Linked DNA regions of Xenopus tropicalis. The protein of the gene in region 4 purifies or fractionates together with the protein of the main gene of each other region. This does not show direct contact. Links are inferred from orthologs where the notes say so. Each region holds a gene or a part of one and is shown on either strand. Other genes may lie near its edges.

The links.
Region 1: the proteins of wdr82 (region 4) and cxxc1 purify together in Homo sapiens (affinity purification with western blotting; 7 studies listed by BioGRID and IntAct, with this or other methods). This does not show direct contact. The link is inferred for Xenopus tropicalis from reciprocal best matches to the Homo sapiens genes WDR82 and CXXC1.
Region 2: the proteins of wdr82 (region 4) and ppp1cb purify together in Homo sapiens (affinity purification with mass spectrometry; 5 studies listed by BioGRID and IntAct, with this or other methods). This does not show direct contact. The link is inferred for Xenopus tropicalis from reciprocal best matches to the Homo sapiens genes WDR82 and PPP1CB.
Region 3: the proteins of wdr82 (region 4) and setd1b purify together in Homo sapiens (affinity purification with western blotting; 4 studies listed by BioGRID, with this or other methods). This does not show direct contact. The link is inferred for Xenopus tropicalis from reciprocal best matches to the Homo sapiens genes WDR82 and SETD1B.

The regions. Positions count from the first base shown.
Region 1 is NC_030684.2:1,148,044-1,152,178, reverse strand, and holds the start of cxxc1 (CXXC-type zinc finger protein 1), read right to left. Parts: upstream 2,850-4,135; 5' UTR 2,731-2,849; coding exon 2,728-2,730; intron 1-2,727. UniProt on the Homo sapiens protein: Transcriptional activator that exhibits a unique DNA binding specificity for CpG unmethylated motifs with a preference for CpGG.
Region 2 is NC_030681.2:5,936,984-5,941,159, reverse strand, and holds the start of ppp1cb (serine/threonine-protein phosphatase PP1-beta catalytic subunit), read right to left. Parts: upstream 2,865-4,176; 5' UTR 2,859-2,864; coding exon 2,807-2,858; intron 1-2,806. UniProt on the Homo sapiens protein: Protein phosphatase that associates with over 200 regulatory proteins to form highly specific holoenzymes which dephosphorylate hundreds of biological targets.
Region 3 is NC_030677.2:162,135,641-162,139,205, reverse strand, and holds part of setd1b (histone-lysine N-methyltransferase SETD1B), read left to right. Parts: intron 1-1,441; coding exon 1,442-1,608; intron 1,609-1,860; coding exon 1,861-1,992; intron 1,993-2,294; coding exon 2,295-2,414; intron 2,415-3,565. UniProt on the Homo sapiens protein: Histone methyltransferase that catalyzes methyl group transfer from S-adenosyl-L-methionine to the epsilon-amino group of 'Lys-4' of histone H3 (H3K4) via a non-processive mechanism.
Region 4 is NC_030680.2:128,228,517-128,232,643, reverse strand, and holds the start of wdr82 (WD repeat-containing protein 82), read right to left. Parts: upstream 2,850-4,127; 5' UTR 2,642-2,849; intron 987-2,641; 5' UTR 957-986; coding exon 796-956; intron 1-795. UniProt on the Homo sapiens protein: Regulatory component of the SET1/COMPASS complex implicated in the tethering of this complex to transcriptional start sites of active genes.

The DNA.
Region 1 (4,135 bases), on a different chromosome or scaffold from region 4:
GGGGCAGTGCCAGTGTGACACAGTATAACCCCCTGTACCCGTGGGGCCCATTAGTACAATGCTGGGGGGCAGTGCCAGTGTGACACAGTATAACCCCCTGTACCCGTGGGGCCCATTAGTACAATGCTGGGGGGCAGTGCCAGTGTGACACAGTATAACCCCCTGTACCTGTGGGGCCCATTAGTACAATGCTGGGGGGGCAGTGCCAGTGTGACACAGTATAACCCCCTGTACCCGTGGGGCCCATTAGTACAATGCTGGGGGGCAGTGCCAGTGTGACACAGTATAACCCCCTGTACCTGTGAGGCCCATTAGTACAATGCTGGGGGGCAGTGCCAGTGTGACACAGTATAACCCCCTGTACCCGTGGGGCCCATTAGTACAATGCTGGGGGGGCAGTGCCAGTGTGACACAGTATAACCCCCTGTACCTGTGGGGCCCATTAGTACAATGCTGGGGGGCAGTGCCAGTGTGACACAGTATAACCCCCTGTACCCGTGGGGCCCATTAGTACAATGCTGGGGGGCAGTGCCAGTGTGACACAGTATAACCCCCTGTACCTGTGGGGCCCATTAGTACAATGCTGGGGGGCAGTGCCAGTGTGACACAGTATAACCCCCTGTACCCGTGGGGCCCATTAGTACAATGCTGGGGGGCAGTGCCAGTGTGACACAGTATAACCCCCTGTACCCGTGGGGCCCATTAGTACAATGCTGGGGGGCAGTGCCAGTGTGACACAGTATAACCCCCTGTACCCGTGGGGCCCATTAGTACAATGCTGGGGGGCAGTGCCAGTGTGACACAGTATAACCCCCTGTACCTGTGGGGCCCATTAGTACAATGCTGGGGGGCAGTGCCAGTGTGACACAGTATAACCCCCTGTACCCGTGGGGCCCATTAGTACAATGCTGGGGGGCAGTGCCAGTGTGACACAGTATAACCCCCTGTACCCGTGGGGCCCATTAGTACAATGCTGGGGGGCAGTGCCAGTGTGACACAGTATAACCCCCTGTACCCGTGGGGCCCATTAGTACAATGCTGGGGGGCAGTGCCAGTGTGACACAGTATAACCCCCTGTACCCGTGGGCCCATTAGTACAATGCTGGGGGGGCAGTGCCAGTGTGACACAGTATAACCCCCTGTACCCGTGGGGCCCATTAGTACAATGCTGGGGGGGCAGTGCCAGTGTGACACAGTATAACCCCCTGTACCTGTGGGGCCCATTAGTACAATGCTGGGGGGGCAGTGCCAGTGTGACACAGTATAACCCCTGTACCCGTGGGGCCCATTAGTACAATGCTGGGGGGCAGTGCCAGTGTGACACAGTATAACCCCCTGTACCCGTGGGGCCCATTAGTACAATGCTGGGGGGCAGTGCCAGTGTGACACAGTATAACCCCCTGTACCCGTGGGGCCCATTAGTACAATGCTGGGGGGGCAGTGCCAGTGTGACACAGTATAACCCCCTGTACCCGTGGGGCCCATTAGTACAATGCTGGGGGGCAGTGCCAGTGTGACACAGTATAACCCCCTGTACCTGTGGGGCCCATTAGTACAATGCTGGGGGGGCAGTGCCAGTGTGACACAGTATAACCCCCTGTACCCGTGGGGCCCATTAGTACAATGCTGGGGGCAGTGCCAGTGTGACACAGTATAACCCCCTGTACCCGTGGGGCCCATTAGTACAATGCTGGGGGGCAGTGCCAGTGTGACACAGTATAACCCCCTGTACCCGTGGGGCCCATTAGTACAATGCTGGGGGGCAGTGCCAGTGTGACACAGTATAACCCCCTGTACCCGTGGGGCCCATTAGTACAATGCTGGGGGGCAGTGCCAGTGTGACACAGTATAACCCCCTGTACCCGTGGGGCCCATTAGTACAATGCTGGGGGCAGTGCCAGTGTGACACAGTATAACCCCCTGTACCCGTGGGGCCCATTAGTACAATGCTGGGGGGCAGTGCCAGTGTGACACAGTATAACCCCCTGTACCCGTGGGGCCCATTAGTACAATGCTGGGGGGCAGTGCCAGTGTGACACAGTATAACCCCCTGTACCCGTGGGGCCCATTAGTACAATGCTGGGGGGGCAGTGCCAGTGTGACACAGTATAACCCCCTGTACCCGTGGGGCCCATTAGTACAATGCTGGGGGGGCAGTGCCAGTGTGACACAGTATAACCCCCTGTACCCGTGGGGCCCATTAGTACAATGCTGGGGGGGCAGTGCCAGTGTGACACAGTATAACCCCCTGTACCCGTGGGGCCCATTAGTACAATGCTGGGGGGCAGTGCCAGTGTGACACAGTATAACCCCCTGTACCCGTGGGGCCCATTAGTACAATGCTGGGGGGGCAGTGCCAGTGTGACACAGTATAACCCCCTGTACCCGTGGGGCCCATTAGTACAATGCTGGGGGGGCAGTGCCAGTGTGACACAGTATAACCCCCTGTACCTGTGGGGCCCATTAGTACAATACACACAGGGGGCGGGGCTACACACAAGGGGCGGGGATACACACAGGGGGCGGGGCTACACACACACACAGGGGATACACACAGGGTTAAGGCGCTGGATACAGCCAATAGCAATGTGAGGGGACTCCCCCCCCCACCCCGATACCCCCGCACCCCAGGGGACCCCCACAAACCCTTCCCGGGCCCCCCCCAAACCCACCCCCACACCATCCCCGGGTACAGCGCACTCAGCGCATCGGATAATATTGTCTCACCATCTCTCCTCCCGTAGCAACAACATCCACTTCCGCTTCCGGGTCCCTCTCCGTGACGCGCACACCCCGTGACCAGCGCTGCGGCCGGAAGTACCTGCGAGAGAGCGGGAAGTGGGGAACTGAGGGTTAATGTGTGTGTGGGGGCGGGGCCGGGGCGGCTCAGAGGGGATTGTGGGACACGGAGGGAAGGGGGAGGAGCTGAGAGTGAGAGGCTATTCCGTACAACATTGAGACGCTGTGGCCACGCCCCCCCTACACGCCCCTCCCACATTACTAGACTTGGCGGGTTTTGTGAAGTTTGAACACATTTCTGGGTATTTTTTTTAGCTACTGAAGGTGAAGTTGCCCTTTAACCTGCAAAACTCACTCCCCCAATGGGACCCATTTAGCTGATTAGTTACACTTGTACCTCAGTGAGGGGGGTATTCCCTTATCTAATTACATTTGGGGAACTGTGTATCTTTCCACAGGGAAATGAGGGGCTTTTGTGTAAGAATCTGAGAGCTGGGGGGGGGGGGGGTATGTTATACACGGGGCATTAGCAAAGCTGAGTCAGTAGCAGTAGCGCCAGTGGGGCGGGATATGGGCCCAACGCTGTTATTATTGCGCTTAGCAGCCCCCCCTCCCTCCCATTTAGCAGCCCCTTGTTATGTGCTTAATGGTTAGGGACCCCCCCCCCCCCCCCCCAGTAACTGGGGAAGTAAATCAGCTTTACTGGCAGCTTTAGAGCCGAAGCCATGAGTTTGCTTCATTACTGAATCCCAGCGGCTCTGTAAGTGTGTCTGTCACTGGGGAGCGTGTGAGTAATGCAGCCCCCCCCCCCATACTGTACTGTCTAAGGGAAACACTATGGCACCCCCTACCCATATGTATAAATACAAATATACAGAGAAGGAATGTTCTGGGCACACAATAAGCTGTACCCCCATACTGTACTGTCTAAGGGAAACACTATGGCACCCCCTACCCATATGTATAAATACAAATATACAGAGAGGGAATGTTCTGGGCACACAATAAGCTGTACCCCCATACTGTACTGTCTAAGGGAAACACTATGGCACCCCCTACCCATATGTATAAATACAAATATACAGAGAGGGAATGTTCTGGGCACACAATAAGCTGTACCCCCATACTGTACTGTCTAAGGGAAACACTATGGCACCCCCTACCCATATGTATAAATACAAATATACAGAGAGGGAATGTTCTGGGCACACAATAAGCTGTACCCCCATACTGTACTGTCTAAGGGAAACACTATGGCACCCCCTACCCATATGTATAAATACAAATATACAGAGAGGGAATGTTCTGGGCACACAATAAGCTGTACCCCCATACTGTACTGTCTAAGGGAAACACTATGGCACCCCCTACCCATATGTATAAATACAAATATACA
Region 2 (4,176 bases), on a different chromosome or scaffold from region 4:
AGCTCACCCCTCCAGCCCACCGGAATCTAGTGACCATCTATTAATATAAAGGGGCCCAATGGGCCACTTGGGCCTAGATCCAATTGTGTGGCAACTACATCAATTTTGCCATCGAAGTGAATCTTAATCTGAAGATTAATATTACCCTTTACCCAGTTCAGACAACTCACTGCAGAGTGACACAGTCAGCAGTAAATATTTGTATCTGACCAGCTTTACTGCAACGCTGCAAGTTCAGGTAGGTGAAGCTACATTTCACTTTCAAAACAGATGTATTCTGTGCAACCACAGAGCTGCAGTTCATTTAACTTTTTTTTATCAATATTTATTTCTAAAGCTTAGTCAAGTGTTTAAAATTAACACAGTTATAGATACCAACTTTCTAATTCCACACTGTGGCAAACCTAGAAATACAGGGAACTCCTTGCATGACACACCTAGAACTTCATGCAATCTCCTATATTCCCCAAGAAGGTACATCTCAGAACTTCAGCCTTCTCTCTATACTCTCAAAGATGGAACTCCTAAAAACATCAGCCTATTCCCTATATGCACTAGAACACACCGCCACTAGAACACACCGCCACTAGAACACACCGCCACTAGAACACACCGCCACTAGAACACACCGCCACTAGAACACACATTTTTTTTTGAATTCCTTATTTGGAGGCAAATTCGGTTTGCATAAACCAGAATACCAGTGTTCTTTCTATACCCACACACACATAATATTATTAAACCATCAGCCTATTTGCTATAGACTCTGCTGCATGACAGGCTACTTTCTATATGTTTCCCTGCTAGAATATCTATCTACACATTGAGAGAAACATGAGGAGGCCCATGCCCTGCAAAGTTTCCAGTGTACATGGGTGTGTAACTTACAAACAGGAGGGTAATAAGTGCTGCTATGCAGAATGGTTGGGGCACTTATTAGCCTCTCGGAACATCAGGTTAATCAATATACCCTCCCGTCCGGCAGATACAGAGTGCAGCCACCCTGTGTATTCTGTGCTACATTAGCAGCTCTCTGACCTTTATAACAGAGTAAAGGTTATAGTAAAATCCAATACACAAGAGTGATAGGGACCAACAGGTCATGGCGATAAACAGAACCTGGGTCAGAACACGCAATACAGTATCTCAGGAGGACTGGCTGTACGTATGAGTGGCAGTGGGACCCGTGGGTGGGCCCAGCTCCTTCAGTTGTAAATAACCTAAACCCTAATGGACCCATACACTGCCCAAGCGCTTATCTTGCAGAAACAACAAGAAAATATAAAGCACCGTCACTAATGTTACATTTCAGTTATGGTTGAGGCTTAAGGTCTATACTCAGTGTTACAAGTCTGAACAATATTATCAGTTACACATTCAACATGAGTATGTGAGCTCCAACACAGGCCCTGGCTTCATCTGCGGGGGCCACAGGCAGGGCAACACTAGGGGTTCCATGTGCGGGGGGGCCACAGGCAGGGCAACACGTGCGGGGGCCACAGGCAGGGCAACACTAGGGGTTCCACGTGCGGGGGCCACAGGCAGGGCAACACTAGGGGTTCCACGTGCGGGGGGGCCACAGGCAGGGCAACACTAGGGGTTCCACGTGCGGGGGCCACAGGCAGGGCAACACTAGGGGTTCCACGTGCGGGGGCCACAGGCAGGGCAACACTAGGGGTTCCATGTGCGGGGGGGCCACAGGCAGGGCAACACTAGGGGTTCCACGTGCGGGGGCCACAGGCAGGGCAACACTAGGGGTTCCACGTGCGGGGGGGCCACAGGCAGAACACAAAGGTTTAACTCAAATTAATAAAAAACTAAGAAGCTGAGCTAATTATCGTCTCCAATTTCAGAAGCAGTAATACAGTATTGGCACCCACATGCCAGTATAATGTACCATAAAGAGCAACCTGCCCCTCTTCCCATAAATCCATTAATAGCCCACCTGCCCCTGCTCTGCGCCCCATTAATAGCCCACCTGCCCCTGCTCTGCGCCCCATTAATAGCCCACCTGCCCCTGCTCTGCGCCCCATTAATAGCCCACCTGCCCCTGCTCTGCGCCCCATTAATAGCCCACCTGCCCCTGCTCTGCGCCCCATTAATAGCCCACCTGCCCCTGCTCTGCGCCCCATTAATAGCCCACCTGCCCCTATTAATAGCCCACCCTCACCCGCGGCACCCCATTAATAGCCTACTTTGCCCTCCTGTGGCCCCACTAATAATCCACTTGCCTCTCTGTGGCCCATTAATGTACAACTGTCCCACATACCTTACTAACAAGCCAAATCTCCCTCCCAAGCACTTGCCCCACTCAGCGGCAGGGCCACTGGGCCCCATTACTAGCCCAGGCTCGGCTCCCCGGGCACACACCCCAGGGCCAGGCTCCCCGGGCACAAGGCTCGGCTCCCCGGGCACACACCCCAGGGCCAGGCTCCCCGGGCACAAGGCTCGGCTCCCCGGGCACACACCCCAGGGCCAGGCTCCCCGGGCACACGGCTCGGCTCCCCGGGCACAAGGCTCGGCTCCCCGGGCACAAGGCTCGGCTCCCCGGGCACACGGCTCGGCTCCCCGGGCACACGGCTCGGCTCCCCGGGCACACACCCCAGGGCCAGGCTCGGCTCCCCGGGCACACGGCTCGGCTCCCCAGGCCAAGGCCCGGCCCCAGTGCCACAGGCAGGGCAGACGTTAGACTTCCCAGGCGCGCAGTTCCCAGCTGTAGGGGTCGCTCTGGCCGCAGCCGAATGCCCTCACTTTCTCACCCCAGCTCTCCCCCATTCCCCCCCGCGGTGCCGGCCCGGGCACTTACCCTCCAGCAGTCGGCTGATCAGACTATCCACGTTCAGCTCTCCGTCCGCCATTTTGCGTTCCCCTCAGCACAGCAGCTGAACACAAGCCGGGCGGAGCCGCGTCACAACAGCCGCACAGCCACGCCCACAAGGAGGCTTCGGGGCAGAAAGACCAGTCACACAAAATGGGCGGGAAAACACAGAGGGCCCGTACTTTAGTTTAACAGATAGAATAATAATGCTCGACAGCCAATAGGCAGCGTCGTACTGGACAACACATCTAAGAGTACCGCCTCTCAACGAAAATACCACGCCCCTTATCAACTTTAGCTGTGACTTTAAAGGCGGATCTTAGTGACAGCTGGCGGTCTTGAAATCGTGACGCAGTTGCCAGAACTTAAGGTTGCCGAAATGCTGTTGGCGCCCGTTCCCAAGGCTCCGCCCATCGAAACGCCCCTTGTCGTGAGGCGCTGGATAATTCTTCAGGGCTTGGCTCATGTTTTGGACTGTTCCATGAGCCTCGGTATCCTAGCAACCGTGACGTCAGAGCGAGCCGTGTGTCAGGATGCAGTGTGTGAGGGGGGCTGCGGGCCCAGGGCTCCCCGCCTCCCTCCATTACCGTATATACCTGCACAGGCCTTATTGCCTTCATGCATGTATATATCATTTGATTTATACGTAGAGACGCATTTGATCAAATTTCATCAAATTTTATATTCAAGTTAGGGTTTATATCCCCTTTTTCAGTCAGATTCCAGAATTTTCGATTTTTGTAAATTCTGTATGTAAGAAAAGCTAAACCTCAGCCATTTTCAAAACTGGCAATAATTAAAAAATTGCCACAGTTGTGACCAAATGTTCATTTGTAGGTATATGTGTAGGCATATAAGGCCCGGCACAACTGTACCCCTCACCCCCCCATGGCGGGCCTGTGTGCGTATATATATATTATTGCAGGGGTAGCAGTGAACCTATGGCCTTTTTAGGGCCGTGACACACGGGGAGATTAGATGCGCTGGGACAAATCTCCGTCATCGCAGGTGACATCTCCCCACAATGCCATCCCACCATCTACAATGTAAATCACCAGTGGGATGGCATACGCGGCGCAGCGATTTGTGAAAGTTGCTGTAGTTTCCTCTCAAGGCAACTTCAGTTGCAAGGAAACTTCGTCGACTTTGGCAAATTGCTGTGCCATGTATGCCATCCCACTGGTGATTTACATTCTAGCTGGTGGGAAGGCATTGTGGGGAGATAAGTCACCCGCAACAACAGAGATTTGTCACAACGAGACTAATCTACCCGTGTGTCAAGGCCCTTAGGGTAAAGACACATAGAGCTACTTAGTAGCAGCTACTTGTCACGGCTACTAAATGCCAGAAAATTCCCT
Region 3 (3,565 bases), on a different chromosome or scaffold from region 4:
TTAGAAAATGAAATTGTAAGCATAAAATGCAAAGCATGAACTTTGGGTTTATAAAATGAATTGTGTGTTACAAAATGTCCTTCTTAAAACTGGCAACCCATATGTATGTATGTATATATGTATGCATTTGTTTTTGTCACCTCAGGTCTTTTTAGTGCAAAAGCTTTGCTTATTTCCAACACTGAATGCACATGATTGATGCACAACCATGTGTAAATATGATTTGTTCCAAAATATTAGCTTCAAGTTATGCAGAACTGTGTGTAGGAAATCCGAATCCTTCCTGGAATATTTTAATGAAATTGCTCTTAATTTTTTAAAAAAAATTTTAATGTTGGCTTATTTTTTATGCCCCCGTACTAGTAAAAAGGTAGCACAGCATCAAAGAGACGTCTGAGAACTGCAAAATTACAAAATCTAAGTTTTTGGTGCTATGGTACTTTTATGCTGATGCCATAGATTTTCCAGCGGACAGTATTAATAGAAAGTTTCCCTGTTTACAAATAGTTTTAACAATAATTTATTTTTCTTAAAATATCTATAATATACAGGGGCTTTTCTTTATCTGCAAAATTATTTATGCATATGACTAGAAGATGCTATAAAGCTTGGAGCCCCATCTAGTGATCATGGAGCTTAATTTAAATGAAACTGTTAAGGTCTGTGATAAATGCCTCAGATAAACCAAGCAATATGGCAATCCTATTCATATGTATACATGCAAATATGCAGGGATATGTCATTTGCGCTTAAAGCTTTGTCCTATAAAATAATTCTAATTTTAAAACATTTCTTTTTTTTCTCAGTAATAATCAATCAGTACCTTGTACTTTATTCCATCTCAGATATAATTAATTCTTTTCAGAGAGCAGTACTATTTGGCTTATTTAATATTCAAATGATTTTTAGTAGACTTAAGATATGGAGATCCAAATTATGGAAAAATGCCTTATCCAGAAAACCCAAGACCCCAAACATTCTGAATAACAGGTCCCATTAATGTACATAATGGATTTCTGAAACATACATATGTAGCATAGTGTATGATATTGTAATAGTTACAATGTGTACCCAGGTGGTAAGCGGTGCATGGCAGAGAAACAAAAGGAGAACATAGCACTCGAACAAATAAAAATGGTAAACTATAACAGCTCCTTTACCAAACTGCATTGTGATACTTACCATTTGCCAGTATCGCTTTAAAATAATTACAAGGACTGATAAAAAAAACTTTATATTACAATATACTATTTAACAGTCTTAGATGTGGGACCTATCATAGGTTCATGTGGCTAGAATGCTCCAGAAATGGGGGCAAAATGCATATTTTATGGTTTATAAAAGGCATTTTAATATATTTTGGGTGTGATTGCAATTTTAACTTGAACCTCTAAATAAATTTACAGTGAGCCATTACCGGTTTTCCTTAACATATGCTCACCAACCAGTGTTTATTCCCCCAAGAAGAAGAAGCGAGATGATGGTTTACGGGAGCATGTAACAGGATGTGCTCGTAGCGAGGGATATTATAAAATTGATAAGAAAGACAAACTTAAATACCTCATCAACAACCGTTCTTTGACTGAAGAACTTCCCATCGATACCCAGGTAAGAGTTTTGTGTGTGAACAGGCATGCATTTTAAATCATACTGCAATAATGGATGAAGAGCATAATTTTTTTTCTATATTAAAGGGAGCTTTAACTTTTAGTACTTTTAGTACTGTGAGTTTATTTGTGTTTTTTTTTTGTTTTGCGGGCTTGTATTTTTCACTGTTAAGAAAATGTAAATGCATTGATGTGTTCTGTTAAAAGGGTCTTGTAATCTATAATTCTTTTTACTGTCTCCTTTGATACCTAGGGAAAGAGTATCCCAGCTCAGCCTCAAGCCTCCACCCGAGCGGGCTCGGAAAGAAGGTCAGAACAGCGCAGACTGCTCTCTTCCTTCACTGGAAGCTGTGACAGCGACTTGCTCAAATTCAATCAGCTGAAGGTATGTGGCCAGTTGGAAGTCTTGCTTATTTGCTTTCCGTGGATGCAGTTCAAGCTTAACTTGGATGCTAAATGTCTCACTCTGTTTGAAACCACTTTAATATTAATTTAAAGTGCAATATGATAATATGTAGCATATTACAGAGTTAGTAAACTGCATTATTCTACCAATTATACTGTTATACCAATATAGTGATAGTGTGCTAGTTATGTATATTTTTGAATCACTGATAATAAAATCTGCCCTATTACCTTAGAATATTCTGCACTGGCTTCATATGAATTTTTGTTTTCTTTTTTAAGTTCCGAAAGAAGAAGTTGCGTTTCTGCAAGAGCCATATTCACGACTGGGGTCTTTTTGCCATGGAACCAATTATAGCTGATGAGATGGTTATTGAGTATGTGGGACAAAATATTAGACAGGTAAGACTTTTTTAAATCTAGACTTAGAAAAAGCAGTTACTCTCATAGCGTTTCATTACTTGCATAGTTGTAGTTTAGAAGGCTTCACATGAGCAAGTTACTCTTGATTGCTGTAAGGTGGGGGCCAAAAAAATATTAGACATAACTAACATGAACATAGCTCCAGGGCCTGATGGAATGCTTTCAGGAGACCTTAGAGGGATATGGTCTATTTAATTCAGGTTAATATATTAAATTTTACTACTCTTAATTTGGAAGATGGCTGATAAACTGGCAGACAACAGATGTAATTTCTGTTTTAAAATAGCAATACAGTCTTAGCCGGGGTGGTTTGTTGTTAGATTGTAATCTGAATTATACTGCATTTAGAACAATAATGTAATTGTATTCAGCATGGCTTTAAATAACATATATCTCAGAAATGCACCTGATGATAACAGTGCAGTAGGGTCTCAAAGTTAGATACTGGTGTTGTAGAAAATGATCTATGGTGTTGCAAAGGCTTTGGATGCAGTGTTGAGAAAAGAATTTATTGTACAGGTATAAACAAGGTCTGTTGGTCATATAACAAAAGTAGCGCTTCACCATAGCATTCTTTTTGGGTACTGCTTTATCTTATTTTTTGCATTGACTTTGATGTCATTTAATGTAATGTCTTTGCCTTTATGCTGAAGAGAACTAAGCTGCAAGGAGCAACAGAATCTGCAGGTGGCACAGCACACTGAATATTAATCTTATAAATGAAAGTAATGTCAGTGCATAGAATATATACATTTGTAGAGCAGGGTTAAGCACCCTTGACCCCTGTCTAACAGTTCAGCATCACAGGGGCTGCCAAGAATTTACACATAAGCAGAATGGCCAGCATCCATCAAGGGAGATAAAATAAGACTGTAGTAACGATCACTTGTATCTCAAAACAGGTACAAAAATTTTAACAGATATTACAAAGTTGTATAATTTAGTCATAAGGACCTATATATGCATTTAAAAATGACTTTACATCCCCTTTAATGTCACTAATAGTACACAAAGCCAATACACTGATAAAATAAAACATACACAGGATGAAGCCAGAGGTAGCTTATATTTATACATGGTACACATTGCTTTTAAGTTTCCTTTGATAGATGTCACCTGTTAAAGGGTCC
Region 4 (4,127 bases):
GCAGGGGTCCCCAAACTTTCTTACTCGTGAGCCACAGCCAAATGTATAAAAACTTAGAGACAACACAAGCATCATAAAAGTTCATGGAGATGCCAAATAAGGGCTAAGATTGGCTATTAGGTAGACTCTATGCACACTATCAGCTTACAGGAGGCTTTATTTGGTAGCAAATCTTGTTTTTATTCAACCAAAACTTGCCCCAAGCCAGGAATTCCAAAATAACTACCTGGTTTGGGGGCACTGAGAGCAACATCCCAGGGGTTGGGGAGCAACATGTTGCCCCGAGCCACTGGTTGGGGATCACTGACACACTGACTCTATGCTTACTACGCAATGTGTGTATGTGCCAATCATAGCATTCTTATTCACAGGGGTGGAACAAAAAAGAGCACGTACAGAGGGGATCACTGGGGTGTAACATACTATGCATAGGGCTGCTGTAAATGTGAATCAATACAGCTTTACTGTGCTTTACTACTGACATTTTCAGCCTATGTTTTGTTAGGGCAGAGCTGTCCAACCAGTGTGAACATGTACCCTAATTTCCATGTCTGCAGGCATACCCTGTCTCGTCTACCTGTGCTACAGTACTGGAAGAGAACGATACCCTTAACAGTGTCTATACAAAACAGGACCAGCACATGGAAATATTTTCAAGGGGGGTGTTCTCCTGTGATTTATTAGTCAAAAGTGAAAACACAGCATTTAGGGGTGAGCTCTTCAGTCAGGTAAATATGTTTGCTGACATTAGTTCCCAACATAAAAAGGTATTTTAAATATCACATATGTACTTACTTCCCCTCCTGGCAATCATAAAGCACAATTGAATCATCGTCGCTGCTGGATATGACTGTTTCACCAGTTGGACTAAAGTCAAAGCAATTTATTTTATCAGAGTTTTCCCGGAAGACCTTTGCCACACGGAAACTTCGGAGCACATTATCGGTGAGCTTCATGATGACCCAATGTGCTGGGACAGCAGGCCCCTGCAAAAAGGGAAATGATGAATGGTTAAGAAATTTGAAACTAGAAAAAAAAAACCAGATGGCTGTTAGGACATAATTAAGTGGGCACTTATATATAAACTGTTCAAATCGGGACAAAATCCTATATTCTGCAGTAGTGCATAAGAACATGAGGGGGGTTAGTAAGTAAGTGCTCATTTCCCAGTTACATCAGACCTCTGGATTAGTCTTATGGTTAAAAACTGGCCTTTGTACATCATTAAAAAGCAATCTGAGTCTATCAAAAGACCACTAGTACCCCAACAGCATTTGACTGGACACTGGAAGTTGCAGTTCAGCATCTCTAAGGCAGATGAGTTACCGATTCCTGGTCTAATAGACAATGCCACATCTAGATTTCCCCATAGAGTTTTAATGATATTAGAATATTGCCCTAGTCACTGTCTGTACAGCCTCTGCATGGCATTTAATATGGGCTTGTGCAGGAAGAATAAGCAGTCTAGGTCAATAATGTGGGAAAACACATTCTATATACCCAAAAGACCACAATACATATAATCATTATGACCCCATAAAGAGCTTCAAGCTCCTAGCACCTAACCCTAATAGGTCAATTTCTCACAGCATTTAACTGCTATCACAGACCCCTTTACTCAAGAAAATTCTGTTTATGCAAATGTTTAATTAAGCAGTGCATGGATTCCCACAGATTAGTCTGAACTTCTAAATACTGGTCTAGTCTGGGACTCAAAATAGGCCCAAACAGTCCCCAACCAGCTCACTGAATGGTGACTGCCTATAGTAACTTACAGCAGCCCCTCTGGCATTTGCAAAAATCCACAGATTAACAGTCCAGGCCTGCCTACATACAGCAATATAATTAAAGTTACATTAAATGTGCAGCGGAATTCAACAAGCTTTCATGTGATGTCAGAGGTTCATGTGTATACTCAGCGGAAAACAGAAAATGTGTTTATACTTGACGGCATAACGGTGTTTGTCTTAAAAGGCAGAGGTCTAGATACTGGACTGTAGGCGAGAATAAAATGGTTTAGCCAAATGTTAAGCACCCAAAGCAGAAGGAGCAAGGATCACCTCTAACTTTACCACCATTTAGGTTTGTGTATGGGCGGGATTACTTGCTTACGTTCCAACAAACTGGAAATGGGGGAATACTGCCCTTTATAGATGGAATGGGAGCCCTGATCACTGAAGAAATTCTGGTGTTCCAACTAGTAGTGATTCTCCAATTCATGAACTGCAACCCTCATCTACCATGACTGCAGTTAAACAGCAGCTGAAAGGCAGAGACTGGACATCTCTGATGTAAAATGTTTTCAATATATAGAATTCCTTAAAAGATGAAACATATATTAAAGGTTTTATCAAAATTAATGTCCTAACAGAGCCCTATAGTGCTGGGGGCTTAGTGCAAACGCCCCCCCTGAATGCTGAAAGGCATGGACCACCTCCTTTGAAATGCTAAAACTAGTAAAACACACATACTGAGTAGCTGATTGGAAATAATATTCATTCTTGTGGACTTTGTCAGTTCCTACTGCGATCCCGGGCAATGTGGCTGCTAATCTGCCGTAAAGCACTTGCTATACTAGTCAATGTACAATAAGCATGGGCGGGCATATAAAGCTGGCTCTAGTATCAGATATATGAACAACCTTTTAGAAATAGGCCAGACAGAACGAGCAGTTCCTTGCGAGTCGAGCCACGTTTTCAGGAGGACCCGGGCCTTACGAATGGCAGTATTTACCCTCCCGAAAGTTAAGAGAAGCTACTTTATACGTTCCTTCCCGATCACCAGCTTATCGGCGCCTGGTAGTTGTGCGACATTTGGGCATACGGATCGCGCGCGTTCCTACATTCTCATTGTCTCCGCCATGTTATTTCTGAAGCCGGGAAGGAGACAGCCCGCTCCTGGAAAAGCGTCATGTGCTATTGGCTGATTCAGGGGGTAGACGCAATACGGAAACGTCTCTGGCGTCATGCGTAACGACGTCCTGCAGGATAACGCCTACAGAACGGCGCCATGGCGGAAGTGGTTTTACGGTGTCGCCATGTTGATTGTGGCAAGAGAACTCGTTCCAGGCTGGTGTGCGAGGAATACTCGTAATGTCCTGAAGCATTCTCGGGTTCGCCCAATCAGTCAGTAAAAGAGTGAGAATACATGCTTTCAAGTATTTTTTTTGAAGTGTCAACATTCTCTATTTGTCCATGGGGAAGCAGTGGTAGGCAATGTAATGTGCGCCAGCTGCTGTTGGCTACAACGCTCACAATGCAGCCATGCGCAAAGGCTGACTAGTGTTCAGTGTTCTTAACAGTGTTCTTTGTGGCCTTGACTAAATACTGGTAATTGGTGTAACTTACTGCAATTATTATTAATAAAGAAACGTTGTCCACTTGTCAAGGTATCAATAGCAATGGATGTGCTGAATCCAAAATTCTGGGATTTGGCCAAACCCTGAATCTTTAATGAAAGTTTCGGCTGAATACTGAAACTAATTTGGATCCTACTTTGCATAAGGCTATGGAAGGATTCGAGAGAACCGCACGTGCAGCGCGTGGTTAAAAATGTTCAAGTTCCATGTTCATTTGACAAAAAAAATCACAGTTTTAAGGATTTGGTTCAGCCAGGTACTTGGATTTGGCCGAATCCTAAACCTAATTCTGGATATGGTGCATCCTTTCCAACAACCCATAAATCCTCAGGCCTAGGGGTTCCAACAAGCAGGAAGAATAAGCAGCTTCAGTAGAAAATCAAATACAGTTCTAGTCCAGGTCTCACCAGTTTAACTATGCAGGCTGGATCTGTCAGTCGTGCTGGGCTGGGGGAGCACCATGCACCTGTAGTCTGGAGGAGTCCGACACTGGACTTTTGGTTTTCCTGAAACTGGGTTGTGTGGTAATTTGTGAAAAATAAAGCTTGTTGTCAGTAGGGATGCACCAAATCCAGGATTCAGTCCTGGGCGGAATCAGAATCCTTAAAATCATGGGACTTTTCGCCACATATAAGCTGAAGTAGAAAATGTTTTGCTGCACATGGTTCTTTCTTGTGCATTCTGTTCCTTAGGTTGCATATGCAAATTAGGATTTGGTTCAGTATTTGGCAGAATCTTTCACAAAAGCATTCGGGGTTCGACTGAATCC